Linked DNA regions of Astyanax mexicanus. The protein of the gene in region 1 interacts with the protein of each later gene in a pairwise test. Links are inferred from orthologs where the notes say so. Each region holds a gene or a part of one and is shown on either strand. Other genes may lie near its edges.

Region 1 (15,844 bases):
CTAATCCACCAAACACCATTATTTTCCACCAAACACCATCATTCTCCAACAGATTCTAATCCACCAAACCCAATCATTCTCCACAGAGCACTATCATTCTCCACCAAACACCATCATTATTCAACATACTCTAATCCCCCAAACTCCATCATTCTTCACAAAAAAATTAATTCTCCAACAGACTCTAATCCACCAAACTCCATCATTCTTCTCAAAAAAACATAATTCTCCAACAGACTCTAATCCACCAAACTCCATCATTCTCCGCCAAACACTATCATTTTCCAAACGACTCTAATCCACCAAACTCCATCATTCTTCACCAAAAAACATCATTTTCCACCTAACACCATCATTATCCAACAAACTCCCATCCACCAAACACCATCATTTTCCACCAATCACTATCATTATCCAACAGATTCTAACCTACCAAACTTCATAATTTTTTTTTTACCAAACTCCATCATTCTCCACCAAACACCACAATTCACCAACAGACTGTAATCTACCAAACTCCATCATTCTCCAACAGCCACTAATCCACCAAACTTCATAATTCCCCAGGTAGCACCATCATTCTCTGCCAAACACCATCGTATTACAAAAGACTCTAATCCACCAAACACCATCGTTCTCCAACAAACCCTAATTCACCAAACTCCATCATTCCCCACGTAGCACCATCATTCTCCACCAAACACCATCATCACAATTTTTCTACTTAACACAATACTTCTCTAATATACTTTACTATTCTTCAGCAAACACCACCAATCTCTAATGGACATTAGATTATTTCCCAACAGACAGCTTTGCAATCATTCTTCACCAAACATCATCATCATGCTCTAGTAAACTGCACCATTCTACATCAAACACCATTATTTTTCAGTGGACTGCAGTGGCCTACTGTTATTCCCTCACTGACATCACTGTTCTCCACCTAATACCGTCATTCTCTAACATCTTTAACCAATCAAACCACACTATTCTCTATCAGTCACTATCATTCACCAACAAATTACGTATTTTCCCAACAAAGATGTTTGATCTTTACAAATCTAGTCAGTTCTGCTCTCTAATTACACTGTAAACATCTAACTACTGCTCTGAGCTTGAGTCCTTCAGTTTCCTCCTCACTGTGAAATCTGTCTGTGAGTGAAGAAGGTCATCATCACTTTCTTCAGATCTTCTCTGTGACTTTCGAGGAAGGAGGGAAAGCCCTCCGGAGCTTTTTTTTTTTTTTTTTTCCTCCACTTGACTGGTGGAAGCGTCTCCCCGACATAATCTTCCAGGCTGCCGTGCATGTCATTACTCTCCTAAATTACAAACATCATTAGCGGAATTGATTCCAGTCGGCCTCCTGGGGAACCAGCGCCGCAGCCGAGACTCCGGGGAGTTGGGCTCCGAGTACGTCCGTCCCCTTTCACAAGTTCAAGAACACTCTGCGGGGAACTCTGTTAAACACCCCCCCACCCTCGCACACACCACCACCACTATTACCACTATCATCACCACCCCCCTGAAACACCAGCGCCACCTCCAAACTCTGTTCTTCATCACAGATGAAAAAAGGAGACATACAGTTCCCAGTATTCCCAGTACCAGTGTATTATTGTATCAGTACTACTTTATGAGGTCACTGGGGCTTGATGCCACCTGTAGCTTATAACTACTCAGGAATATTAAAGCATTAAAATTAAAAAAACAATATACAACTATGGAAAAAATTCGGAGAGCACTTCAGTTTCTGAATGAGTTTCTCTAATTTTAATTTATTTATAGGTATGTGTTTGAGTAAAATTCCCTAATTCCAAATTTAGAGTCATTTCGAACATTTATTTGCATAAAATGAGAAATGGCTGAAATAACTAAAAAAGATGCAGAGCTTTCAGACCTCAAATAATGAAATAATGAAAATAAATAAATAAATAAATCATATTCATAAAGTTTTAAGAGTTCAGAAATCAATCAATATTTGGTGGAATAACCCTGGTTTTGCTAGTATTTCCCCACGCCCTTGACTGAAAGAGAAGATAAAGAAAAGATGAGTGAACTCAGATGATTGGGCAGGAGTTCGGGGCAGCTTCGCTGGAAAAGCATGAAGCTGAACCCCCCCCCCCCCCACACACACACACACACACACAAAGAGAAACAGGAGGAGAAAAGAAAAAAATTGAATGAGGAAGATGGGGAGGAGGTGGGTGCGAGGTTGTTCGACATGCAGGTAGAGAGGAAGTGGCGATTTATACAGGTCAGACAGTGGGAGGAGTAAGGGCGTGCATCAAACTCCCAAAATTAAGTTATATAACACAGATTTTAACTTTTAAACACAGATTTATGCATCGTGGCATGTTCTCCTCCACCAGTCTTACACACTGCTTTTTCAAATGCCACTTCCACTAAACTGCAATGTGAAACCAAAACTAACTGGACTAAATATACAGCATACAATGTAACAAACACATCAGCCCTGGTTTGTTCTTTCATCCGGCCTGAAACATGATCAAAGATGACGGAGAGACAACCTGAGAAAATGGGAGAAATAGAAGATTCGGATTCATGCATCGTGGCATGTTCTCCTCCACCAGTCTTACACACTGCTTTTGGATAACTTTATGCCACTTTTAGGAGACAGAATTAAGAGACCACTTCAGTTTCTGAATCTGTTTCTCTGATTTTGCTATTTATAGGTATATCTTTGAGTAAAATGAACATTGTTGTTTTATTCTATAAACTACAGACAACATTTCTCCCAAATTCCAAATAAAAATATTGTCATTTAGAGCATTTATTTGCAGAAATGAATAATGGCTGAAAGAACAAAAAAAGACACAAGTTCATATTCATAAAGTTTAGTTTAGTGTACAGAAATCAATATTTGGTGGAATAACCCTGTTTTTTAATCACTTTTTTCATGCATCTTGGCATGTTTTCCTCCACCAGTCTTACACACTGCTTTTGGATAACATTATGCCACTCCTGGTGCAGGACAATAACAATAACAATAACAATAACAGGACATACTGCACTCAAATGCCACTTCCACTAAACTGCAGTGTGAAACTGAGAAAATGGGAGAAATAGAAGAATGGAGAGAAGGGAAACAGTTATGTTTAATACAGCTCTGGAAAAAATTAAAAGACCACTTCGAAATAACAAAAAAGATGCAGAACTTTCAGACCTCAAATGATGCAAAGAAAAAAAAGTGTTCAGAAATCAATCAATATTTGGTAGAATAACCCTGGATTTTAATCACAGTTTTCATGCATCTTGGCATGTTCTCCTCCACCAGTCTTACACACTGCTTTTGGATAACTTTATGCCTTTACTCCTGGTGATTCAAGGAGTTCAGCTTGGTTTGATGGCTTTTGATCACCCATCTTCCTCTTGATTATATTCTAGAAGTTTTCAATTTGGTAAAATCTATGAAACTCGTCATTTTTAAGTGGTCTCTTTTTTGTTTTCAGAGCTGTATAAGAAATGTGAGTATTTGAGTATTGCATTCTGCATTTTTGTATATAACAAATGATACACTGTGCCTGTAACATGTTTATTTTCATTCCAGTACAGGCATTCCCATTTCTATAGCTGTCAATCAACTGCATTAGAGTGGTGGTGAATGCGGTTGGAGCCTATAGAACCTTGTTTTTATCATGCGACCGCGTTCTGAAAGGCTTTAGATTGCAGGTTTTTGTTGAGTGTCAGAACATCTTCTTCTATACATTCCCCCCCAGATCTATACCTGAACCTCGCCTCTATTCTCAGAGAACAAGAAGATCCTCCAGCGCACAGCCTCGGGGGGGGGGAGGAGTGCTCCATCCAGCCTTTCACTCTTAGATTGAAAGAGGTGGCTCTCAAGGGATCCGTCCGTGGTCTATATACGCTCGGCCTATATGCTCAATGTATGTGTGCACATTGTGAGCAGGGGTCCTTGGAGATGCTCTGTGAAGTCGGCTTGTGAATCTGAGACTATGGAGATGGAGGTCGGAGGTCACGCCGAGAGGGGCGCTCTGAGGCGGTCCGAGCCGAGGCCGGCCCTGACCTTATTTGCAGTAATATAATGAATTCCACCTACTAGATCTCAGCGGAACATTAGAAGCCCCCCACAGGGTCAGCCGGTTAGCATGTGTACAGGATGTAGTGTGGACCAGGAGAAAGGAGGCATCAGCTTCAACTTCAGCATCAACATCAGCACACTCCTTTTAGGCGTTTAGGCGTCCTGAGATCACAGCTGTGACGGGTGAGGAGATGGAGAGGATTATCACTGTTCCCTTCACAGTAGCACTATATAGAACACACCCTTTCATAGGTTAAACACACAGAAATAGTCCCCATATGACTGTTCTCGGCCTGGGGTGATTCTAGAATCAGTGGTTTAGGGGTCCAGTCCATCAAACCCTCAACTTAAAAAGCTCCACCTCTCCCCTTAAAAAAATTTGTGGCCTGTAAATGAAGTTCAGTTCACAGGAGAGTTCAGAGGAGGGGTGAGTGTGTCTTATTAAAAGAAATAAGATCATTTTTACCTTAAATATCATTTTAAAATATTTTTATCAAACAATCCTGGCACAATTGCATTCTCCATTATCTCGTCTAATGAAGTTGCATCATTTATTTTCACTTTATTCTCTTAGCTATCTAAAAAAAGGGCATGGACAACTCATCCTGGAGGTACCAAAAGAACCCAGAACAACATTTAAAGAGCTGCAGGTCTCACTTGCCTCAGTTAAGATCAGTATTAATGATGACCAAAAATAACACAATGGCCCATCTCACATTTACCAAAAAACATCTTGATGATCTCCAGGACTTTGGGTAAATATTCTTTGGACTGAAGAGACAAAAGTGGAGCTTTTTGAAAGGTGTGTGCCATTACATCTGCTGTAAAACCAGAAAAAGTACTGAAAAATTGTAAGTAAAAGTACCTTTACTTTGCTAAAATTTTACTCAAGTAAAAGTAAAAGTACCCATCTAAAAATCTACTCGAGTAAAAGTAAAAAGTACTTAATTTAAAATGTACTTTGAGTAAAAGTTACATAGTTACTTTTAATTATTTGATGCAAAAAAGTAAAAACAAATCATAAATTAAATTGTTTTTAATGAACTATTATTTCACATAATAATTTGGATCTTTCAGGCAGTATTTGTTTAGACCACCCCATAAAACATTTTCAAGAACAAGTGGCCCAGGTTTCTATGATCCATTTTTTTCTTTACTATTAAAAAGTTATGGTAATATAGGAGACTATAAACTGTTATTTTATAGTTTTACAGTTCATTGTTATTTTTTAACTTGCCATTGATATGCTTTAACTGCTATTTACATTTTTTTTAACATTCAAGCAGATTATTTAATGATAAAAATAATTACCACTACATGCTTTCACAGGTTTGATGTGGAAGTTTTGAAAGCTGAACAGCTCTGTCCGGTGGGGCACATTTTGCATTGCATGAGGACGTTATTGCCTCGTTATTCCACGCGCGAGCATCTGTGTTCTATCTATTTTTTTTTAATTCAGACAATTGTTTTTTTTCCTCAGCATTTTATTTTTTACTCAGTAATTGTGAGTTTTCCAGTGTAGCAAAGTAAATTACTTGTGTCAAAATGTAGTTGAGTAAAAGTAAAATTACCTATTTTAAAAACTACTTTAAAAATTACAAATTACTCATAAAATCTACTCAATTACAGTAACTTGAGTAAATGTAATTCATTACTTTCCACCTCTATGTAAAACCAACACATAATGTCAGAAAATAGAACATCATACTGAATGTAAAACATGGTGGTGGTAGTGTGATGGGCCTGGACAGCTTGCCAAAATAGTTGGAACCAGGAATTCTACTGTTTACCAGAAAATCCTGAAAGAGAAGGTCCGGCCATCTGTTTGTGACCTCAAGCTCAGGTGTACTTGGGTTCTGCAGCAGGACAATGATCCAAAGCACACAAACAAGTCCATCTCTGAATGGCTTTAAAAAACAAAAACTAAATAAAGGTTTTGGAGTGTCCTAGTCAAAGTCATGATCTTAAACAGGTGGTTTATGCTGGAAAATCCTCCAATGTGTCTGAATTAAAACAATTCTGTAAAGAAAAGTGGAGCAAAATTTATCTGTAAAGCTTGATTGCAGTGATTGATGAGTGACACAAACAAGTTATAGGTTTAGGGAGCAAATACTTTTTTATACAGCGCTAGATTGGTTGGGATAGTGTTTCTTTCCTATAATAAGCACCGTATACTATATATATATATATATATATATATACAGTATTGAAGAGTATCATACATAACAGGAATAGTCAATACTCAATCACTGATTCCTACATTGGTGCTATAAATAGAGCACTGTTATAAGGAACACTAACAGTTCCCTAATCACTGATCCTTATTTTGACCCACTATAATGTAGCTGTTCCTGTTCCTTTTATTGGATCAGTTCACTGTTCCCTACTTTTGAACACTATATTGATTAGGATTAGTCCTATAAAGAATTCCTTAATGTTATACATTTCAATCATTTTCTCACATTTGCTACAAACTGACGATCCTCTGACCATCATTGCTCCTCAAAGACTAAATCATGGTTATAATCACCTGTTCACATCACCTGTTTGAAATCGCATCATTATTTAGTTAATTTTTGACCTTATTACTAACCAAAGGCAAATAGCCAAATGTGATTATAGTTTACAAAGTATGCAATGCAATTACCGTCATGTACACTCAACTAATCACTGATTATTTGCATTTATTAATCAAACGTAACTGATGAATCGTGACAGCTGTAGTTTAGTGCTCTGTAGAACACTTGTGAATGATGCTTTACTAATGATTGACAATTATGTCATCGTTTGCATTCCGTTATAATGTAGGATCATTATGGGTATTTTGAGCGCGGCGAAGTCGGAGAATTAGCGGGCGACGCCCGGAGGATTCATCACAACACATTAGACGTTACAACAACATGTAAATCACCAGTTTAGGATGAAAGAGAAGATGGCGCGTGACACCCGGGCGATAAATAACATCATCTGCCGGAGTTTTTAATGAATAATTCACCAGAGTCTTCTGTCACTGTTAAACTTTAATGAAGACAGACATCAGCCTAATCCATATTTACACTCCTCCGGGCCTCGCGATAAACCCTCACTCACTCTCTCTCTCTCTCTCACTCACTTTCTCTCCCACTGTCTCTTTCTCTCTCTTTCTCTCTCTCTCTCTCTCTCGTTCTCATCGAACCGTATCGAACTTATGGAGCAGAACAAAACATAGGCTCGCTGTTTGTCCTATTGTCTGTCCTATTTTTTTTTATTCTTTGTTTACTTTAGAGCACATAAACTATTCAAGCATAAAAAAAAGAAATTGTGGAGGTTGGCTCTCAGAAGCTGAAGGTTGGAATAAGCTGAATACCTGTGCTGTGAGATGTTTGAAGCCCGTGTTTTTATACACTCAGAAATGCCATTATACCATGAGCACACTGAGCTCGTTGTGAATGGCTCGTCATCACTCAGCCTCTTTAGAGCCGTTCTAAAGCCTGCAGCTAAATTATTCACAGTCGGTGGTAAACGCTAATCGTTATGTACGCTAGCTGCTTTCTTAAAGACTACTCTCGCTGATGAACGAGTTACCGTGGGTCGCACGAGTGCGCTACGCTCCAGTGTACGTGACACACCGAGCTAGTGTACAGTAAATGTGTTTGTATTAGTGGTGTCAGTTGGTTAAAAAATTTAATCAGGGGTGCCGAGTGGTCCAGCGGTCTAAAGCACTGCCACTGTGAGCGGGAGGTCGCAGGTTCAAATCCCCGCTCATGCAGCTTTGCCATCAAGCTGCCGGCGCTCAGAGGGAGCAAAATTGGCCCTGCTCCCTCCGGGTGGGTAGATGGCGCTCTCTCCCCACATCTCTCCTAGGGTGATGTCCGCAGCACAGGACGTCTGTGAGCTGATGTATCAGAACCGAGCCGCTGCGCTTTAATCTGAGTGCGCTATGATGCTACTCAGCAATGCTGCAGCAGCTCAAAAAGAAGCGGTTGCAGACTTCACATGTATCGGAGAAAGCATGTGTTAGTCTTCACCCTCCTGGTGTGTTGGGGCATCACTAGTGATAGAGGGAGTCCTAATGAGTGGGTTGGGTAATTGGCCGTGTAAATGGGAAAAATTAGAAACAAAATTATTTTAAAAATGTAATCAGATCAATCATAACAATACTCTGTGATTAGCTGGGTTTGCATACTGTGTCATGGGTCTCCCAACAAGACAATGACCCCAAACATACTTCAAAAAGCACCCAGAGATGTATGAAAACAAAATGCTTCTGAAGTCAGAGTTCTGGAGTGGCCAAGCAATGAGACTGGATCTAAATCTCATTGAACGCATAAAGAGAGATCCTAAACTTGCTGGTGGGAGGAGGCATCCTTGAAATATGAGAGACTTCAAGCAGTTTGCAAAAGAAGAGTGGTCCAAAATTCCTGTTTAGATGGTATAAGAAGCTTGTTGCGATTGAAGCAGTTCATTTCCGTAATTTTTTTTCCAGTGGTTTTTTGTGTGTGTTTTTGTAGTATTGTGTGAAATTGTAAACATTTGTTTTTTTTTTTGTTTTTTTTTTGTTGTTCCAGTACAGTACAGTTTCTTCTTTAACTATGTAAAAACGTGTAAAACATCAAGATTTTCCATAAAAAAAGAGAAAAACATAATTTACGAGAAATAAAAATGAAGAAATAGGCAAGAACTGATCTATTGTTTGGCTTGGGGTCAAAGGTCAGGGTTGAGGGCAGCAGCATTTAGACAGTCATACAGAAACAACTGACAAAGATATGAATACACACCAGTGTGTGTGTGTGTGTGTGTGTGTGTAGTGGATATGGGAGGTGGGAGGTGGAGGGGGGGGGGGGCTGTTTCTTTGGGCTTTGTGTCATTGGTTTAGCAGAGCCAAGACCCCGCCTTGATAAAGAAAGGAAGAAGAGTGGAGAGAGAGAGAGAGAGAGAGAGAGAGAGAGAGAGAGAGAGAGAGAGACCAAAAAAAAAACACCACCCCTCTCCAACACTCTCCAACACTGCTACACTGTTTCCCTTCGGCTCGCGCGGCACGAAAACACGCGCGCATCGCCGTTTTCTCGTGATTTTCTTCGCTACAGATTTTCTTCGCCGCGCGCGCCCGCGGCCTCAGACTGGATACAAAGTATCGCGTTAAAGAAGCGAAAGAGGACAGTATCCCCCTCTCCAAAAAGAAGACTACTGTCCTCCTTCTGCCGAGCTGGGATGCTATCCCTGGACGCCTAAAAACATTAGGAGAAACTCCTTCACCGTAACTCGCGCTGACCGCTCTTCACGTTGAGGTACGCTCGCTGTTTCTGTGTTTTCGGATGCGTTTTTGAGGTCGGATATGTGACTGTTTGTGTTTTATTTAGCGTGTTTGGATTTGACCATGTGTTTACGGAGCTGAAGTTGGCTTCTGATTTTGGAATTCCTCCGTTCCACCTTAAATAGGGCAGCATTTCCATTCTGACTCCTTAAGCGCCAAAATGGAACTGCCGCACTGTTTAAGGTGGAACGGAAGAATTCCAAAATCAATTCCAACTTCATGTTTTCGCCTTTTTTGCCATACGAATCTTAACTTAACGGTAATTAGTAGAGGTGTGGACGCGTTACTGTGTTTATTTCGCTTTGACTATGGTCTTAAACCCCATTTTTATGTTTCATTCATCAAAAAAAGGTGGCGTGTACCATTATTTCTGAGGCAATGTTGATTTTCTCAATGTTGCAGAACCAACATATACCCATATATGGCTAGTAATGAATGATATATATAAAATGCTTGTGTGTATATATTATATTGTATTATTATATTATTATTGTATTATTAATATATATATAATATTATATTATATTGTATTATATTATATTTTGTATATATTTATATAATATAATATAGCTTTGAAAAAATTGATCACAAGCCATCAAACCAAGCTGAACTGCTTGAATTTTTGCAACAGCAGTGGCATAAAGTTATCCAAAAGCAGTGTGTAAGACTGGTGGAGGAGAGCATGCTGCCAAGATGCATGAAAACTGTGATTAAAAACCAGGGTTATTCCACCAAATATTGATTTCTAAATTTCCTAAAACTTTTAATATTAACTTGTTTTCTTTGCATTATTTGAGGACAGAAAGCTCTTCATCTTTTTTTGTTATTCTGAGCATTTCTCATTTTTTTCAATTAAATGCTCAACAATGTTTGTTTTACTCAAACATATACCTATAAATAGCAAAATCAGTAACTGAAGTGGTCCCTTCCAGAGCTGTATGTGGTCCCTTTATTTTTCCAGAGCTGTATATACAGTATGACTTATAAATATAATAATATTTATACAATTCGTCCACCTGCAAACCAAATGGTCCAAATGAATGGAGCCAAACGTGCAAAAATATCCCCCACCCCCTGAAAGTTACTTACTCAGATAAGGGGTTAAAAAAGCTTGTAATATATCTATACTGGTGTTTCGATTTATCTAACTGTAGTTTCTCCCAGATGTTAACCGTACATTTATATTTTATGGTTATATATTTTTTTAATGCTAATCTATGGCTATGACATTTACTTTTTTTTGACTATGATGACATATATACTAGTAGACATATTGCTATTTTTATGACCAATTGGTAATATCACAATTTTCATCATACTTTTTAATGCATACCAGGTTTACCATTCATCCACCTGCAAGTGCTTCAAATACCTCAAATGGGTGCAGTGTGTGCAGTAGTTACTATGTCCCATAAAACCTGTTGGTACATTTATTTTTTTCATATTTTGCTGTTTTATGCCCACCCTGAAACCAAGCAAAGAGACTAAATGGGGATTGATAGTAATAATAATAATAATAATAATAATAATAATAATAATAATAATAATAATAATAAAATAGAATCATAAGTGATCTTTTTTTATCTGGATGATATAGACATTTATTTTTCAATATATTTCTTCATTTCAGTCGATAAGTCGAAAGGCCACAGAAACTAACCAATTCATGTAATTCGCTGTAAATAATGTATATTTAAATATCAGAAATGTGTTGACATTGATTGAATGCCAACCCTAGCTTTTTTTCTTGTTATGTTGTGTTGTGGTGTAAGATACATACAAGATCACATCTCTAACAGGTATTTGTAACCTTATCTGGATCTCATTAGTAATCTATTAATTGGTAATGATGAAGAGGGATGGGTGGTTGAGGGGATGGATAGTGTGCTAATTGTTGTCCCAGTGGACCGCATGTCTAATTCTACACAGATCTTTAATCCTCACCCTGTGGTTGAGGGTCTTGTAGAGTGCCAGATCCTCTTACAGAGGGCAGGAATGTGGTTAATGTTGTTTTATCAGCTGGGTTTAATCAGTGTATATAGAGGAGTGCTAATAGAAGTGTTTTTTATGATTTGGACGTGATGCTCTTGGATATCGTGGTTCATTGTTGTAGGTTTTTTTTTTATTTGCTCTGGTTGTTAGATTTGTCAGAGGAATGGTGAGGGCTGTACATTTCTCAGAATTGCTCAAGTGTGTATACACAGTGTAGTGACATGTATTTGTATTTTGACATGTACACATAATATATACACATACATTTACAATAGATATTTATAATACATACCTAATAGGATACATTTAAGTTAAATGTATTTTTTGCACTATAAGATGCACCAGATTATAAGGCACATTATGCGCCCCTAGTAAGGAACAGGCATACCTGTCAAGTCTCCCGTTTTGGCCGGGAAACTACCGTATTTTACTCCTCTTTCCCGCCGTCCTCCCGTATTAGTATTTTACCGTAAATTTCCCGTATTATATTAAAATTAAAAAATATATATATTATTGAGGAGACAGGGAGCTGACTGCTCTGTGTCTCTTAACCAATCGTGGAACCGGTTCAAGGAGAAAGTCCCGCCTTTCAGGAGAAACAGCCAATCAGATGGCAAAGGAGGGTCAGTGTGGGGAAGCCCCCGTCGCTGTGAGTTCAGGCAGCTAGTCGGAGCTGCTGATGTTAAAACATATCTGGATATTCAGCGATTTTTCTAAAAGAAAGGTAATGGTAGGCGGCTAATCATGAAAACTGTGATAAGATTTTTCTGATAGCTGCTAAAAAACACTCGTCTCCGAAATAAAACACACAGATTAAACCTTTTAAAATAAAAAAATTACACCTTGTGACTCAGCTTAACTAGAAATGTGGAGAGGACCGAAATGAACTGAACTGATCAGGGGTGGAGTGATCAAAAGAAAGAAGTACTAACTAAAAATTATTAATTGTGTAGGCCACTTAGGACTAATTTTTACTGATGGAATATATCTGGTCCATGTCCTTTTAGTAAAAGCTCATGATACTATTTTAAGGTCACCTACAGTCATTTTGCAGAATTTGTGCACCCTTTGTTCAATTTTAAATCTATTAAATAAATAAAAAATATATTATATAAAAGAGTGCATTTATGCCAAAAAAGACATGAAATCTTAACTTTTCTTAAATATCTAGAAAAGGGTTTTTAATTTGGCTGTATTAAAAGAATGACATATGTAGGAATGTCCACAACATTTCAGATTCTGATAATCTAATTGTAGTGTGTAAGTGGTTCACATGTGGTTATTTTAGATTTTTTGTAAACTTGTCCTAAAATGTAAGGGATACTGAACCTTCGTTGGGCTGGTGGGACGACTTTAAGAGGACAGAGGAAAATATCCCTTATTTTTAAATCTAAAACTTGACAGGTATGAGGAACAGGGGTGTCGCTATTTTTTCCTTCTAATTCAGCAGATCTTGCCGCTGGGTGGTGGTGGGCGGTGGAACTAACTAAGTTAAGTAAAGCTAAGCAAACAAAACCGTAACACAGATTTTCCCCCTGAAAACTGTTTATTTGGGTGAGTAAAGTGCTTCTGTTTATTTCATCCTGCATCCCGTCCTATATACAGATATACTTGCCTCTGAACAGTGAAAGAGCTAGTGCTTAGTGCGGTTAGCGGCTAATGCTGCTCCAGCAGTGCTAGCCAGGGGGTAAGCAGTAGGCTAACAGCTGATATTTCTAAAATTCATACGTGAGGCAAACAGACGATTTTTGGCAAAATGAAAGGATTTTAAGTGTGCCTTATAGTGTGTGAAAAACAGCATATATATATGTGTGTGTGTGTGCGTGTGTGTGTGTGTGTTTATATGTATACACTGTATATGTATGTCCAATTAGCCATGGTAGCAGCTGTTTCGTGTAGACCCCATGAAGGCTTGGACCCAACCCAAGTTGTCAACATCCTTCAAGATGTCTTCTGTCCACTTGTTAGAATCACTTTGAGTTCTTGCATTTTGATTGGCTTAAAGTGAGTCCTACATGATACTACTCTCTGTAAATATTGGCATGTCAGTTGTACAACACCATAGAGACTAGATACAGCTCTGCACTGTATGATGGATGGATGGATAGATGGATTTGTAAACATGGTACAAAATAGTATATTTAATATATATATATATATATATTTTTTTTTACATTAAGGTTAATTGACGTTTCATTCAGGCTAACATGAGCTTTACAAAACAGCAAGAAATATGGGTATTCTACTTACCCATTCGTAAGTAGAATATGTTTATCTATAAATCTATCTAATAAACTCTAAAGATAATCAATATGTACCAAACAAACACTTTTTTTGTTTGCATCTTTTTGTATGTTCTGTGTGTTATCTGTAAAATTAACTGTGTGAGGGTAATAAAAACATTTAATTTAATTAGTATTTTTTTTTTCTATGTACTTTATGTTTAGTATATTAATTAAGCACATCAAAAAAGTTTCTGTGCTCCAAAAGTAAATACAAATGTTTTTCCTGTATTTTTACACTTTGAAACTGGGCAATTTTACTCGTAATATGACAACACAATTACGCTAAACAAATTCCCCAATTTTAATATTAAAGTCAAAATAAACCAGACGAACTCCAGACGAGAAAAGAAAAATCAAAAAGGAGATCTACTTAATATCTCTGTAGTTTTTTTTAGATAACAATGAGATCAAATAAAAATACTTTTAAGAGACTTTAGCATAAGTCTCCTGCTGCTCAAATTTGTCTCCTGACATAAAGAGCTCAGTATGGTCTCACGTGTGTCTCCTTTTGAGGTTCTCTATAGCTCTTGATGGCAGTGGTGGATCAGCAGTTGGATCAGTTCTTACAGTTGGGTCAGTAGTTACAGCACTGGGCTATTGATTACAAGGTTATGGGTTTGATACCCAGGTTGATACCCACCAACAAATCTCCCCTGTTCTACACACTAAGAAAAGTAAGTACAGATTTGTACTTAAAAGAGTACAAAGCTTGTCGCTGGGGCTGTACATTATACTGAGGTACAAATAATTACCTTTCATTAAAAGTCCTTTCTTTGTACCCATGTTTTTTATGCCAGTAAAAATGATAAAGATTATAAACATTATCATCATATAAATGACAATAAATAAATGTGTTAAGAACTTGATGATACAAAATTGTCTGGCTTTCAAATGTGAAAAAAATGTGCAATTAAAATTAGTTTATTAGTACAGTGATAAAGAATACTGAATTTACCTTTTGACTGGTTAAGTGGTAAAAATCTGTACTTATTTCTTTAAGGAATGAATTTGTACTTCAGAGAGAACACATCTGACCCTCTAAAAAAAATAGTATTCATTTGAGGGTACAGTTATGAAGAGTATACTTTTGAATACAAAAAAGTACTCATATCGTACTAGAGGTGTGCCATATCATATCGTATGCGATAGTATCGCCAACATTTTTTATATCGTGAACAATATTATACCCTGAAATATCGTGCCATTTCACTCACCCCTAATTATCACATCAGGGTACTACTTTTTTTGGCTGTTTTAAGCAAAACAAAAATTCACACTTACCACACATTTACCATTATACATCTACTATAGACAAATTATATCTGTTTAGTATCACTTATTTTACTTTAATCATGGATATATGGTGAAATATATATTAGGGGTGGGCGATATGGCTCTAAAATAATATCACAATATTTCAGGGCATTTTTGCGATAACGATATATACTTGGCGATATAGGAAAACTAAAATATGAGGAATATATAATGATATATATAATATAATAGGAATATAGTATAATAGTATAACAGAATCATAATGTGGCAAAATAAATAATGTAGCATAAAATAATATAATACAGCAAAGAATATTGCAGAATATTTAGTGCATGCATATAAACTGCAAACTAAAACAATTATACAATAAATACACTTAAAGCCTCACAGTGAATAATACTACTTTTAAGACAGAACAGCCCTATTATCACGATATGGATTTTTAATATCATTATATTTCTGTGTCACGATATATTGTATACGATATAATGTTGCCCGCCCCTAATATATATTTTTTATATTTATATTTTGTCATATCTGTTATCGCGATAATACTGTGATGTTAAAAATATCGTGATATTATTTTAGGGCCATATCACCCACCCCTATATCGTACGTTTTTTGTGTACTAGTGTACTATGTGTCTAAAACCACATTCTCAGTTTTGAACCCTTTAACCCCATAAGAAGTGTCTTATGTCTCATTTTTGTCTAATGCTTTTGTCTATTCCTTCTAAGCAATTTTAAAAGAAACCTATGAAACAATGAAACCTGTGAGAAAGTAAGGAAAACTAAATACATCTCCTGAGACATCAAAGTTCAACATTTGAGCAATACAACTTTCCTATGGGTCTGCACTGTTTAATTGTTTAGTTTTTAGTTTCACTGCAGTGTGTTGAGTGTGAAGCTGAGCTCACTGCTGGTCAGGTGACTCGAG
Region 2 (15,228 bases), on another chromosome or scaffold:
AGACAAACACAGTCTGCTTAAACTAACACAACACAAAATATTATATGTTTGCATGGTTTTATTGAACACAACATGTTAACATTCACAGTGAGGGGGGGGGAAAGTATGTGAACCCCTAGGCTAATGACTTTTCAAAGAGCTAATTGGAGCCAGGATGTGATGAGGTTGGATGTGTTGCTTAAAGCTGCCCTGCCCTATAAAAACACACACCAGTTTTGAGTTTGCTGTTCTTAAGAAGCATTGCTGGATGTGAATCATGGCTTACACAAAAGAGCTTTTAGAATACATACGTTTAAGAATTGTTGACTTGCATGAAGCTGGAAAGGGTTACAAAAGTATTTCTACAAGACTTGATGTTCATGTGTCCATGGTAAGACAGACAGTATACAAATGGAGAAATTTCAGCACTGTTGCTACTCTCCCGAGGCATGGTTGTCCTGTAAAGATGACTGCAAGAGCACAGCACAGAATAGTCAATGAGGTGAGGAAGAATCCTAAGACTGTCAGCTAAAGACTTACAGAAATCTCTGGCACATGCTAACATTTTGTTGACAAAGCTACAATAAGGAAAACATTAAACAAGAATCAAGTATTCATGGGAGGACACCACGGAGAAGCCACTGCAGTCCAAAAAAAAGCTTTGCTGCACATTTGAAGTTTGCAAAAGAGCACCTGAATGTCTAAAATTCCTCCTGACTGTTGTGCAGGTCTGATCTGCAACTACAGGAAACGTTTGGTTGAGGTTATTGCAGCCAAGGGAGGGTCAACCCTAAACCCCCCCCCCCCACCCCCATATAACATATAATTTTTTGTGTGGTATTAGTTTAAGCAGACTGTGTCTATTGTCTATTGTTGTGACTTAGATGAAGATCAGAACCCCTTTAATGACCAATTTAGGCAGAAATTCAAGTAATCCCAAATGATTAACATACTTTTCTTTTCACTTTTCTTGAATCTGTATACAGTAGAATTAAATGCAGGAGTGAGTGTTATTATAAAGTAAGTGAAGAGGAGAATGTGTATACTCTCTTACTGCTTCCAAGGATGCCGCTCAACACTCGTCAGACCTATTTTCACATGTTTTCACATTAGATGTGTGTTGCTGCGTGTCTATTAACACATCGGTTTATTGTACTGGTAACTCTAACAGCCTCATCTCAACATTGTGCTTAGACTGCTGTTTCACAGTCAAGTCATCAGTGTTAAATTAACACTTTTAAGACACATTGATGTTTGGTGCAACGACACAGTGCGCACTGGGGACCAGTTTAACACAGCTGGTGCTAATTTAACAGCAGAGTTTGGGAGTAGAACAGAGATGTGATGGTTTAACACAAAATATTTAAAATACATTTAGAAAACATGGAGGTAGGCCCGTGACGAGATTTACAGTTTCGACTGTAACCCCAATCATTTTTGCTGACCTCAATACTGCCCATAGTGTTTATTTGGCTAGACAAAAAAAACACAATTTTGTTTGTTTTGTCTATTTAGGAAATCTAAAATTACATTTTCCAAAATTCTGTCATAATAAATTAAATCTTCATTGGTATTTAATAGTATTGGGCAAATACATTGTTGTTTTATTATATAATCATTATATGAGTGTCATAAATAGCCTTAAAATGACAATTATACCATTTCTGGGACAATTTAAAAAAATAGTTATCATTACATGCCTACAACAAGGCCATCATTAAACAAAACTCAACTTTTGGGGCGCCGAGTGGTCCAGCGGTCTAAAGAGCTGCCACTATGAGCAGGAGGTCGCAGGTTCGAACCCCAGCTCATGCAGCTTTGCCATCAGCTCCCGGCGTTCAGAGGGAGCAAAATTGGCCCTGCTCCCTCCGGGTGGGTAGATGGCGCTTCTCTACACATCACTCTATGAGCACAAGGCGTCTGTGAGCTGATGTATCGGAACCGAGTCGCTGCGCTTTCCTCCTGCTCGGCAATGCTGCATCAGAAGCGGTGGCTGACTTCACATGTATCGAAGGAGACATGTGTTAGTCTTTACCCTCCTGTGTGTTGGGGCATCACTAGTGATAGTGGGAGTCTTAATGAGTGGGTTAGGTTATTGGCTATGTGAAAATGGAAAAAAATAGGAATAAAATTATATTAAAAAAGCTCAACCTCTTATGTGAGAATAGTTTAAATCATCCCTCATAAAAGATAAGGCAACAATGAAATAAATCACTAATCAGCACAGTGATTTATCAGCCTACTCATGCTGTAGTAGAGCTCAGTAACACTGAGATAAATGACTGATCACCAGAACAGTGATTTATCAGTCTACTCATGCTTTAGTAGATCTCAGTAATGCTGTTTTTTCCCCAGAAAGCAATTTTGCACAAAAAGAAAAATGGATTCCATAATGGTCAGGGTGTTTCTTTACAAGTAAGGAGGATCCTTCAGATATTTTGGGAATATGATGTGATGATATACCTGTGTGTCATGTAATGTTTAGCATTCTAGGACAGATGTTGACAATGAGAAAACATCTTTATAAATGCAAAGAAATATATTGTTTTTTTTATATCCTTTTTTAAATTGGCATTCTGTATAAAACAGAATATCATACAGAACAAACTTTATATATTGGAAACAGAGTGTGCTTTAGTACATTTAAGTACACTGTTAACTGGATTTAGCTTTGTTTACGGCCTACAAATCAGAGGGCTTTACCCAGATGCTGCCAGAGACGCAATAGACCCAGAGGTGCGAAGCACAACGCTTTCCTTTGTTACTTCCTGGAGTGAAATGTCAGCGACGTCTTCAGGGCAATGCTCTGAGAAGTGGCTGTAGTAACAACATGCGAGTTTAGTCTGCGGATCAGCTGAATCTGGACTGTTTTAATCACTGTTTATGGTGTTACTGATCTTACAGAGCATGGTCTTCGTATCATATCGAGGCTCCTCAGTGTCTGCTGTGCAGTGGGCAGCCGTGCAGCTATGCTACTGGACATTCTCTCTCGCTGTGTGCTCTGGAGCAAGATTAATCCCATCAAAAAGGCCAGTGTATCAACATCTGCCTAATCCTGTCTAATGGCAGACACCGCCGTGAAATTCTTACCTCCAAGCAACATGTATTAGCATAATTAGAAGGAGAATCCCAGCAATTGGGGAGGAATGCTTAAGCATGCTGGGTGAATGACAGATTTCCATGCTTGCTGAGTGTGTACATGTGTGTGTTTTTACACATACTGGGAGGACATGTGCAGTGTGTATTGTTTAATAGGACATGTGAGGCTTAGTGGAGCTGTCTGAGCTGGTGGAAGGCACAGGAACGTTGCCTTCACAAAGACGGGTTCCACAGTGACCTCTAGGGGAAGGAATTCAGGCACATTTAGGAAACTGGTGGGAGCAGCCATTTCTGAAGGATTCCCACTGAAGTTACTTTTAAATTATACAAATCATGCATTTCATAGGTCTTCTGTGATGATTGGTTATATTAACACAGAGATTTAGGAGATTTTTTAGGACATATTTCTTTTATCATAAATAATTAAATAATTTTTAACTCAAACTCAAAAAAAACAAACCTTTACTTTAGCCTTGCTACTTCAAGGCTAATTTTATGTGACAAAAGACATACATCTGAATGTTTGTGCGTTTTTAAATATTATCCAAACATGATACAAGCGTAAAATGACTTCTAATAGTCCTTCATATCTTTCCACAACACTGCTTTTCAAAAGCAGAGCCAACAAATCCTTCACATCTTTCACTGTTCCAGTTTAAACAGATGGAAGGAATCGCAGGAAACATCATTTCAAACATCAGGCAGCCTGAGCTGATAGTACAGCCATATTCAATGAATGGCAATCTCAAGAATTTGGAATCAAAAAATGCCACTTGGTGCTTGTGGTACTGAGGTATGGAACAAAAACAGTTATGCTAATCACTGGAAGTCTCTCTCTTTCTCTCCTGTATCTCTCTGTCACACAAGACAGGACTTTTGAAGTGAAGCTTGGCATGGCCTTTAAAAAAGGACCCCCTGTTGTGGTTGGTGTGCACCGTTTTAAATATGAGGATTCGTTTCTTCCTGAATGGTTCCTGACCAAGCAGAACCATCTTGCTAAAAAAGCCACAGTAACAATGTAGGTACTGCAGTTGGTGTAGGCTGAAATAATAATTTGCTACAAGTTCAAAGGTTCACAAATCTTCATGTCACTCCAAATACTCACTTTTCCACTTTGCTGTGCTGTGTATTCTGAATATGGCACGTCTCCAAGCTGTGATAAAGTGGCAACAGAGAACTTCCAACACTGGGTTTGGATGTACGATGCTAAATAGAACTCTTGTTTTATGTTTAATCTGTGAACAAAATAGATGTCTCGCACTGTCATAGTCAGTGTGCAAAGTCAAAGAATAGGAAGTGATGCATCTGCACAAGTTTAGCCTTTTTCCCACAAGTCACAGACTATTAGCTTGAGCCTAGACCATTCTCACCCATGCAGTTCTATTGAGCAATAATGTGAATGATGCTGAATGACGATAATTCGCAACACTCCTTGACAGAACAAGGAGCAGATTGTTGGGCGGCACGACACCGACAATAGAAAGAATGCGGTGTGCTTTAGACTGTCACCCACATGTAATGGCTCACGCACCGACACATTCACCACATCAGCTTAATGAGGAGGCCATTCTTTGCATTAAATAATAATGGTATTAGGTCAAGATTCCAGACTAGGGAGGACAGTGGTTTGTTTTGAAATGTATTAGTAACGCCAATTAATTTACTGGGGCGAAAGAGGCACACTGAGTGTGGGACCATGGCAGCCAAATACGAGGAACAAGTGACTGCATTCATCAGGTCCTGACTGAACTTTGAGTTACGCATCTGTGGGGCCTCAGCACTCACCTGATTACACGTTCTCCACAGTTAGTCACACTGCACTGAGTCGAATTCTGTGCAATCAGTGAGTTCTGCAGGAAGAACGCTTGAACTGTGGCGAAGTCAGTGGTCACAATGTGACTCTCACTGGTATATATTATTGTAACTTTCCATTTTTTTTCTAAACTGAAAATGAAAATGTTTTAATATAATAATAATTATAATTACACGTAATCACTATGAATTATTTGTTTATTTTATTGTATTACATGATTTACACCACACGTACACTTTATGTAGTGATTTTTAATAACACAAAAATAGAACATTTCATACTGACCCCCAACAATGATATTAGAACAATAACATTTAAGAACAAAAATATAATTCTGATTAATTGGCTAATCAAGCATCTGAAATATTTAAAGCTTTCCACACCAGCACTGAACACTTTCTTCTGGGAAAAAAAATCAATTGTCTTAAAATACATATATATTTTTTTATTACATATGTCTTTAAAGTAATCTATATTTTACAGTATTTTATAATTAAAAGAAATAGCCACAACCAAGAACATTACCAAAACAAAAACATACGTTTCAAATCTTATGTTCATTTTATTTTTAGATTTTTTTAGTTTACATCCACTCTCCACTCTGCAAAAACAGTAGTTACTATTTAGCTATAATGATTAGTATTATAAGTATATAATAATAATTAATATTAATCATTATTATCAGTAATTACATTTTGATTTGTTCTTAATTAATTAGCTCAATTTATTGAACGAATATCCTTACATAAATATCATGGTAATAATTCTAATTCGGTATAATATAGTTTTCCCACCTCCAGTCAGTCAGTCAGTCTGTGAGTCAGTGAGTGAGCCTGTGATCCAGTGTATGATCCAGTGTAAAGTTGGGCTCTGCTGCTGCTGCTGCTGCACCTGCTCCTGCTCTCCGCCCCGCTCTGACTACAGTACCCAGGTATCAGTGCGCGGCCGGTCCCCCTCTCCGTGCTCTGCGCCAGTCTGTTGTAGGAACCAGTCCGCTCGGCCCTTTCTGTTTTTTTTTCTGCTTTCTCACTGTTGCCTGGTGTCAACCTACGCCGAGCCGCCTCATCCCTCCCTCTCTCCCCCTCAGCGGCTGCTTCCAATTTGCCTCCGCCGCCCTCCGCGCCTCTTCCATTGGCTTTCGCGCTGCCACTCAAGCGCTTCCTCTTCGCTGGAGAGTTGAGTAGCAACAGCTCGGAAACATCTGGCTGCTGCCGCCGCCGCAGCTCTGCTCTCTCTCTCTCTCCGCCGCTGCGTCTCTATGCCACGGCGGGCTGGTATGGAAAGCCGTTGAAAGTCGATCCAGTTGGTTTGTTTTTTTTTTCTTCTCTCTCCCGGAGAAGATTGGAGCGGAGGAAGCGGGAGAGGAGGAACTGGAGCTCTGTTGTCTGTAAGTGGGCTTTATAAAACGCGAGGTGCTCTTTAAGGAGATGTTTAGCTGTAGTTAACTAGGGGGGGCTGAGCCGGGGCTCGATCGGTGTGGAAAAAGTGGCGAGCTGGTTTGTTTGTTTTTTCCTCTTTTTTAACGGTTCTTGGCTTCACACTGTAGTTAAAACACTCGTTGGAGAGCGACCGTTGCGTCGCGCTGCTGACCGTTGAAACGGGGCCTGCTCCAGAACTGAAACCCTGCAGGTAGATCGGTGACTTTTTTTGTTAAGCTAGCCACTAGCTAGCTCCCCCCTCAGTGTGCGGCTGGGGGTCAGCAGCGGTGGAAACAGCCAGCCAGCCGACAAACCGACCGACCCACCGTGTGTGTTGTGCTGTGTGTGTTGCTCCTCCACAATGCTGAACGCTGTGTGTGTATAAATGTGTGAGTGGGAGTGAGTGAAGAACCCTGGAGCCACCGTGTATTTTCGCCTATAAGTAACTTAACTTCGGTTAGCTACTTAGCTAACTGTTAACTAGCTCGTAAGTGGGATAAACTAGCGTTAGCTTACTAACTAGCCAGCTAGCTAGCGTTACCTAGGTTACGCAGTTAGTTAAGCTAGTTAGCTAACTAGCTAAGCGACACTCGGACTGCTCGAGTCAGTCAGATAGTTCCCGAGAGCTAGTGGAAATCTGCCACTGTGTTGTCCCGTGGTTTATTTATTGTTGTTGTGTTTTTTTTTTTAGTTTGAGTTTAGAGAACTAAAAGTCGCTAAGTTAGCACAGCAGCCTGGTCGCTTGTCTGTTTTGCGGGGTGTAAGCACAAGTTTGAGTCTGGCAGGCTGGTGAAGTGTGAATGAGGCGGTGTGCAGCTGTGCTGTGTGAGTTTTACTGACACATTTGTCAGCCAGCTGCACTCGCACAAAAAATGCTGTTCATATTTTATTTGGCGAAATAATTATAATAAAGTCACTAATAATGATGAGAAAAATTGGTTTGTAATTAAGGAGGCGTTTGTGGTTAATTAGATAAAATTGTGGAAATAGTTAGCGTTAAAACTCAAACCCAGTGCTTTGGTTAGAAAGTTAAAATTTAGGTAGCTGTTTGTGCTTCATTCATTGTGTTTCCTCAGGATTGTACGTTTGATAAATCTTAAAAAAAACTGTAGTTAGCTGTTAGAAACGTATGGACTGACATTTAAGTGGAAAAGCAGTGGCTGTTGTATAACTTACTTGTATTATTATACATTTCTTCTTCTTCTTCATAGCATTATTATTATTATTATTATTATTATTATTATTACAATTATTATTATTACAATTATTATTGTTGTTGTTTTATTATTATTATTATTATTATTATTGTTATATTATTATTAGTAGTGTTTGTAGTGGTAGTGTTATCTACTTGAGCCTTGTCCTCAGACTTGTGGCTATAAGATTTATGTAGCTAACTAGTAAAAAAAAAAATAGACACATTTTGTGTAACTCTGCTGTTTGAGGAACAAAAGCAAAAAAAACTGTTCATATTAAGTGTCAAGCAGTCCTCTTAAGTAACAGTTTTTGTTGTTGTTGCGATCCTACTTATAAGGTCTATAGGCTTGTTCTCATTGTCCATTATTTTATTTCTCACCCCCCTGCCTGGCCGTCACTGGCCCAAAAGGGTTAGTAAAATGAATGACAGTAATGGTGCGGCCAGTGAACCATAAAGAAGCCGAAAACAATATCAGCTGCGTGGATCTGTCAGTTGCAAATGCGCTGTGCTGGCCTTTGTTTATGGTTACTGGAAGGAGAACACCAAGAGAGAAAGAGAGGAGAAAAAAACTTGAGGGTATTTAAATTCTCTGTGCTGGAAACTAGGTTAGAAAAAAAGTGTCTGCTTTCACACAGACCTATTTTCAAAAGTTCTCCTTTGCTGGGAGATTACAAGTAAAGGGGGGGAGGGTGGAGGGGTGGATTGGCCAGGTTTCCACAGAATCACCTCTCAACAGTTCCTTACTACCACCACCACCACCCCCCTGCTTTTTTTTAAAGGGAGAGAAAGAGAAACAAAGTTGTATAAAGGAGAGGCTGGTGGCAAGAGTGTAGAGGAGTAGCATATGGCACTAAAAGGAGCACAGCTGGAGGTAGCATTTCCATCTGAACATGATGTCAGAGCAGCTGACAGGCTGCCATCCCCCAGTCTTTTCTTCTACCGCACAGACTGGGAGTTAGTGTGTGTGCGGATCTGTGTGCAGGAGGAGGCATCGCATTCCCCTCCAATATCTCCTCCACTTTGCATCTGTCCCTCGCAGTTTGATTTTTTTTTTCTTCCTCCCTCTCTCTGTTTCTCTCTCTCTCTCCCTCTCTCTCTCTGTGTTGCTCTTCCTCCTACTACCACCTTCATTGATTCTGTGAAGGGAACTACAGCAGCAGCAGCAGACACTACAACACCACAACAGTGGACTTAATCAAGTTGATGCGTACTGCAGGTACTGTACCGTACCGGACAGGGGGGGTTCGGGCCAGCAGCCATGTGTTCTGAATAGGGAACTATTTAGGCTTTTGTTAAGTTTTTAAGGTTTTTTTTCTTTTCTTTTGTGTGACTGTTATCAGTGCAGTGAAGAGGAGAAGAAGTAGTAAGATTTGTGTCGGGATAGCGTTACCAGGATAGGGACGAGTGACACTTCTTGTTGTAAGGACGAGGTTACCAGGCGAGCTTTTCATTAAAGCTGTTTGTTTGTAGGTTTTGGTTTCACTTGCTTTGCTGTGAATAGCGAACGGTAGCCAAGATCTAACAGTTGTGCCATTGTTTGTGCGGTGTGTTTGTGTTGCATTTAGCGCGAAGAAAAAGAAAAAAGTTTCTTAATGTGTGTTTTTAAGATAGATTGTTTATTATTTTTTGTTTATATATACTATATTTTTGGTTAACTTTAAGTATTATTTGTGCGGCTAAATAATTAGCTTAAATGCTTTTAAAAATAATTTTGCCAGATTTTAATTTCTAAAAGGATTTCCATGTAAATCTCTGTAAATATATATTTTTTAATCTGTAAAGGCACTGCCAAATATAATAGAAATAGTCTGTTTCAAAATGTATAAAAAAATTCAAATTGTAAAATTACTAAACAACTGTCCAGCAGATTTATCTCTTATGCATGTTTTTTTTTTTTTTACTGTTGGTGACTAATTTAGAACTTGCAGATTTGAGTTGCCTGAATTGGCTAGACAGCTGTAATCGCACTCCTCCTAGTCTTAATCTCTTTATCTGGGCAGCAGCTGCCATATGGCCTCAGTCAGCTGGATCAGATGTTCATAAGCCTCCTTCTCTGTCCCTCTCTGTCCTCCGAGCCTCCTAATTTGATCGCTGCTACCTTGCGAGCTGTCCTGCAATCTTTATTTTTAGCCATCTTAAGGATTAGGATTGATGTGGACTACAGGGCACTTAAAGTGATTGTATTGTAAATCTGCTGTGGGCTGCCTCTTTGGGGAGGATGTTCCATTTCTCGAAAGATTTGGGGAGGGGAGAGAAGAGGAGGAGAAGGAGGAGGAAGAGGAGGAGGAGGAGGGGTTGGCTAGGGGTTGGCTGTCCCACGTCTGCCCCCTCCCCGTAAGCCCCTCATTAACGAAGGTCTGAGCACTGTTTAAGGGGGGGTTTGGCTTGGTATCCCAATCAGATTTAAATGAAGATTCAAATGAGTTCATTTAAGTGCGCTGGTTGAACATGGTGCCCATGCATTTTTTGAGGCGGGAGCTGTCTCCACGAGTAACAGGTGTGATTTTAACATTTCTCTATATGTTCCTCTTTGACTTTATTGATTTTTTTAATTAGATGCAGCCTTAGTGCACAGTTTAATTGTATTTTATTTAGAGCGAATTGTTTGTTTTCAGTTTGGCGGTTGACTGTGTACTATAACAACTACTGTAACATCAGTTGCACTGATGTTCTGCTACCTTACGTGTCGTAACCTTAAAGATCACGGTACTTAGGACTCTCTTAGGAGTGCTGCTGCAGTGTGACTGTGCTGTTGAGCTGTTTGTGTACCTGTAAGCCTGTTACCTAAACGCACCATCCTGGCCAAAGTGGGTTATTAAAAATAACTGCTCCAGGAGCACAAAGAGGAAAAGCAGTGAAGTGACTTGCACGCAGGCATCTGTGGCATCGGGACTTCAGCTTTTAACACTGCGCATTCAAACCTTTCGCACTAGCAAGATCTCTGAAGCAATTTAACAAATTTTGTTTTCATTTTAAGTTCTACTGGTGATTAATCTGTTTTTCTAGTTAAAGTCATAAAAGAAAGTGTAAAATGAAAAGCCTGTAAAAACTACTGAAACTAAATATGAAGCGCACACACAGCTGGATACACTTAGGAGGCAGAGAATTGAAAAGAAAAATGGGGATCGCAGATATTGTGATTTTATTTGTTTGAACTTGAATCTTTATAATCCTTTTATGTCGGCTCTGTGGTGAACATTTTTCTAGTGTTCCCACAGGGATGGAGGGAGGGAGGGGAGAGAGAATTAGTGTGTGAGAGCCAGTGAGTGTGTGTCTGTGTGCATTGGGGAGAGAGAAAGCGAGCGAGTGAGTGAAAGAGAGAGAGCGAGACTGAGCGGGTGGGAAAAGAAAGAAGTTCCATACAGGGCTGCAAACAAAACAATTGTTGTTCTACTGGGCCTCTCTAACATCTGCGGTCTTTTGCAGGTTATGAAGACAGCATGGAGTTTCCAGACCACAGCAGACACTTGCTACAGTGTCTGAGCGAGCAGAGGCATCAGGGATTCCTTTGTGACTCCACTGTTCTGGTTGGCGATGCCCAGTTCCGAGCCCATCGTGCGGTGCTGGCTTCATGCAGCATGTACTTCCATCTCTTTTACAAGGACCAGCTGGACAAAAGGGACATTGTTCATCTGAACAGTGACATTGTCACGGCCCCGGCCTTTGCTCTCCTGCTCGAGTTCATGTACGAGGGGAAGCTCCAGTTCAAATCGCTGCCCGTGGAGGATGTGCTGGCCGCCGCCAGCTACCTCCACATGTATGACATTGTCAAAGTGTGCAAGAAGAAGCTTAAGCAGAAGGCAACAGCTGAGGCTGACAGCACCAAGCGCGAGGAGGATGCATCCAGCTGCTCAGACAAAGTGGAGAGCTTCTCGGAAGGCGGCAGCACAGGTCGGCCAGCCACCGCTGACCTGCTGCACAGCGATGACGAGGAGCTGGAGAACAAGCGGGACTGTCTGCAGGAGCCGGGCAGCATGTGGATGCGGCTGGCCTCAGAACGTACTGCCTCTCCAGCCACCAGCCCCAGAGAGGCAGAGCCCCGCGGGCCTGACACCGGCAAGTCCCCGGCCGGCAGCCCGAGCAGTTCCACTGGCTCACTGTCCCGCCGATCAGTGCCCTCCCGCAGGGTGTCTGCCGATGCTGACTGTGTCCTGGACTTGTCAGTAAAGTCTGGCCTGAGTGGGCCCCCTGGGGAGGTTGTGGCCAGCGGAAACCCTTACTTCTGCGGCCCGGTGACCCCAGATAGCCTGCAAAATGCACTAGTGCAGGTGAAGGTAGAGAAGGATGCGGGCTCTGATGATGACGAACTGGCGAGCGGCGAGTACGAGATGGAGCACAGCGGCCTGAAGGAGCCGCCCAGCACCAATGGCACCCATGCCATCCACTCAGTCCAGCAGAGGCGACTGGGCCTGGAAGCGCACCTCTCGGCTCTGCGTGAGGCGTCGTTGGCCGGTGAGCTGGAGCGGGACAGCAAGACGGTGGAGGACGAGAGCGAGGTGCTGGGCGGTGACGGTGATCGCGGGCAGGATGCGGCCAGCGTGGAAAGCTCCCTGCTACCCTACGTGTCCAGCATGCTGGGCGCACCGCACGCGCAGATCTTCATGTGCCCTTTATGCAACAAGGTCTTCCCCAGCCCGCACATCCTGCAGATCCACCTCAGCACGCACTTCCGTGAGCAGGAGGGCGTCCGCGCCAAGCCGGCGGGCGACGTCAACGTGCCCACCTGTTCCATCTGCGGCAAGACCTTCTCCTGCATGTACACGCTGAAGCGCCACGAGCGGACCCACTCGGGCGAGAAGCCCTACACGTGCACCACGTGCGGCAAGAGCTTCCAGTACTCGCACAACCTGAGCCGGCACGCCGTGGTGCACACACGCGAGAAGCCGCACGCCTGCAAGTGGTGCGAGCGGCGCTTCACGCAGTCAGGGGACCTTTACCGGCACATCCGAAAGTTCCACTGCGAACTGGTCAACTCTCTGTCCGTCAAGAGTGAGACTCTCAACCTGCCCACAGTCAGAGACTGGGCGCTGGAGGATAGTTCTCAAGAACTGTGGAAATGAAAGCTAATGAAAACCCCTTTCAAATTGCTTTTTAAGTTAAGAGAGCAAGAAAGAGAGAGAAAGAGTCAGAAAGAAAGAAAGAGAGCGACAATGTGAGGCAGAGAGGTAAGGGGGTCAAGAGATGGGCAGGGAGGTGGTGGAAAAGGTCTGCATCAGTCATGTTTCTTCTATGTACATTGCTTATCTTGTTAAATTGCACTTTACTAGCACATGAAAAAAATGTTACTACTGATTTTTATTTTCTGGTTTACTTAGTTGTGTTTTTTATTCGTTTATTTTATTTTTAAAGACATGGGTGCTGGCTACAGCTGTCACCTCTTGACACAAAAATTTGTGTGAATCTGGATTTGACAGTGTATACACATAAACTCCTTTACACTCCTGGATTTTATTGAACATGCCATGAACAGAAAAGAAAAATCATGAAGATTTCAGGTAATACACTGAAGAAGTTCAAAACTGATAAGCATACACTAAACGGGTACTACGATCCTATATTTACCTGTACACACGAGGCTCGTCCGCGAGCGTGTGTGTATATATATCGTGCACTACTATACCTTTTTATTTTGCAAATATCATACCTGGTGTGTGAGTGTGGCGGCACGCAGACGCTGCGTGTTAACAAGTTAGTCCTTTAAATCCTGCGAGGATTTTGCTCGAGAAGCTCCAAGCTTGTGTTATTTAGGCTCTTGTACATTTTTTTGTTCCTTTTGGAAATCTTGTGATAGGAAACTTGACTGATAGAAGACAAAAAAGGCACTCATGCAATGTACAGCCTCCTTTTTCATATCAATTGACACGTTTTTATATGGTTTGATTGAACTGATGATTTGTTCATCTTTGATTTAGTTGCAGACTCTCAACACTCGTTTTCTACTGAGATTGGGTTTACGTTCGCTGCATTTCTAGAGAGATTTCTGTAGTGTATTTTTAATTTTTAATTTGTTCTGTTTTTTTTTGTTTGTTTGTTTCTTTTTCTCGTTTTCAAAATGGGATCTGTTGCATGACGTCCAACATGTATATTAAAGAAGATGTGAATTGCTGTATTACTGTACACTGTAATTGACCGATTCATTACAGTCAGGGCACCTGTCTGTTTAAAAAATATATATATACTTTAATATTACAGCTGTAGAAATTGCATGAATTTTATTTAACTTACTCTTATTTTTGTTGTTGTTTTGCATTGGAGAGTGTATTTTTTATTGAACTCATTCGATTCCTAAGTAGGTTTTTTATTATTATTATTAATATTATTATTATTATTATTTTTTTTTTTCTCCTATGGTGACTCCTGTTAAGACATTCTGCTGGGCTGTGAAGATGTAAGGTGTAAATGCACTGATGTTAGGTGGGATGTTGAAGTGTGTCTGTGTGCACGAGGCATCTTGCTCCAGGCTTATAGTAGACGGCAGGAGTTTGATACGGGGCTGGTGTGTCAGCGGAGGCTTAACCCCTGCTGAACATTTGTTCCAAAGCTAGTGTGGTTCCTGCTTAGCACCTCCTCACGCGCTGCTGTTCTCCAACTGCTGGTCTCCAACTGTTGTTTACTCGCGTCTAGCATTTTGAAACGTGTCAAGCTTTTTTGTTAGTTTTTTTTCTTTGTTTGTCAGTAACTTATTTATTTATCCGTTCGATTGGCACTTGCTTCAAATTCCGTGGCCATGAAGATTCAGTTTGCTGTTATAACTCCTGTGTCGGCTCCTGTAAAGATGGGCTCATCAGATCTACTGTGTGTGGCAAAGGCTGAAGTATCGGTAAACAGCATAAAGCTCCAATCTGTGTGATTTGACTGAGTGAATGTCAGTGTGTGTGCGTGTGAGAGTGTGTGGTGTGCTTTGTTTTTTTTTTTTTTTTTTGTTTTTGTTCTTTTGTACTCAAAGCATAATCCTTCCTCTGACAGGAGAAAATGTTTGGCATGCTTGGTTGCACCTTTTTAAAAAAGCTTAACAAAATTAGATTAATGCTGAGAAAAAGATGCCTTTATGATTTTAACTCTTAATTAAAAGAAAGACGCATTAACATTATTACATTAAGTTCAGATCTATAAATTCTAGATGAATAAAATGGTTACAGTGCTGTAGAATGACATTTCATTGTTATGTGTGTGATTTGAAAATATATATTTTGTTTTATTTTATTTTTTTTGTTTTGTATAATTTATCAATTTTACTTTTTGTTTAAAGTGAATGTGAAAGAGTTAACTAGATAAAAGTTCATCTAAACACCATTTGTCATTTAAAATTATTAACGATCAAAACAAAACGGCAAAAAAACCCTACAAACAAAAACAACAACAAAAAAAAAAAACAGATGAAAACCTAAATTTGGAGAAGCGCTGTTGTCATGGAGCTGTAAGTAAGTAAGTGAGCGAGCGAGCGAGCGCAGTGCTGAGTGCAGTGCTGAGCGCTTGGCCTGCTGCTGCTGCTGAACAGAATGAGGAGGCATCGGAGGCTCCACGCTGATGGTGGGCCGGAGGAGGAGGGGTGGGGGAGTGAGAGGGAGTGAGGGAGTGAGGAAGGGAGGGCTCGCGTGCCTCTTTGGCCCTCAGGGGCTTGAGCTTCCCCAGCGTAGATTTTGGTTGGTGCAACAGCTAGTAAAAAAGGGTTGATCTTGCCGACAGACAGCGCGCACTCCTTGGGCGTTTTGCACGGTGGT

The links.
Region 2: the proteins of C-terminal-binding protein 2 (region 1) and zbtb18 interact in binary tests that used the Homo sapiens proteins (3 or more experiments, as listed by UniProt). The two-hybrid records come from large-scale screens. The link is inferred for Astyanax mexicanus from reciprocal best matches to the Homo sapiens genes CTBP2 and ZBTB18.

Annotation. Positions count from the first base shown.
Region 1 is NC_064422.1:18,507,102-18,522,945, reverse strand, and holds the start of C-terminal-binding protein 2, read left to right. Parts: upstream 1-8,985; 5' UTR 8,986-9,330; intron 9,331-15,844. UniProt on the Homo sapiens protein: Corepressor targeting diverse transcription regulators. Functions in brown adipose tissue (BAT) differentiation. Isoform 2 probably acts as a scaffold for specialized synapses.
Region 2 is NC_064414.1:22,907,189-22,922,416, forward strand, and holds the start of zbtb18 (zinc finger and BTB domain-containing protein 18), read left to right. Parts: upstream 1-8,761; 5' UTR 8,762-9,955; coding exon 9,956-10,004; intron 10,005-10,933; coding exon 10,934-12,567; 3' UTR 12,568-15,228.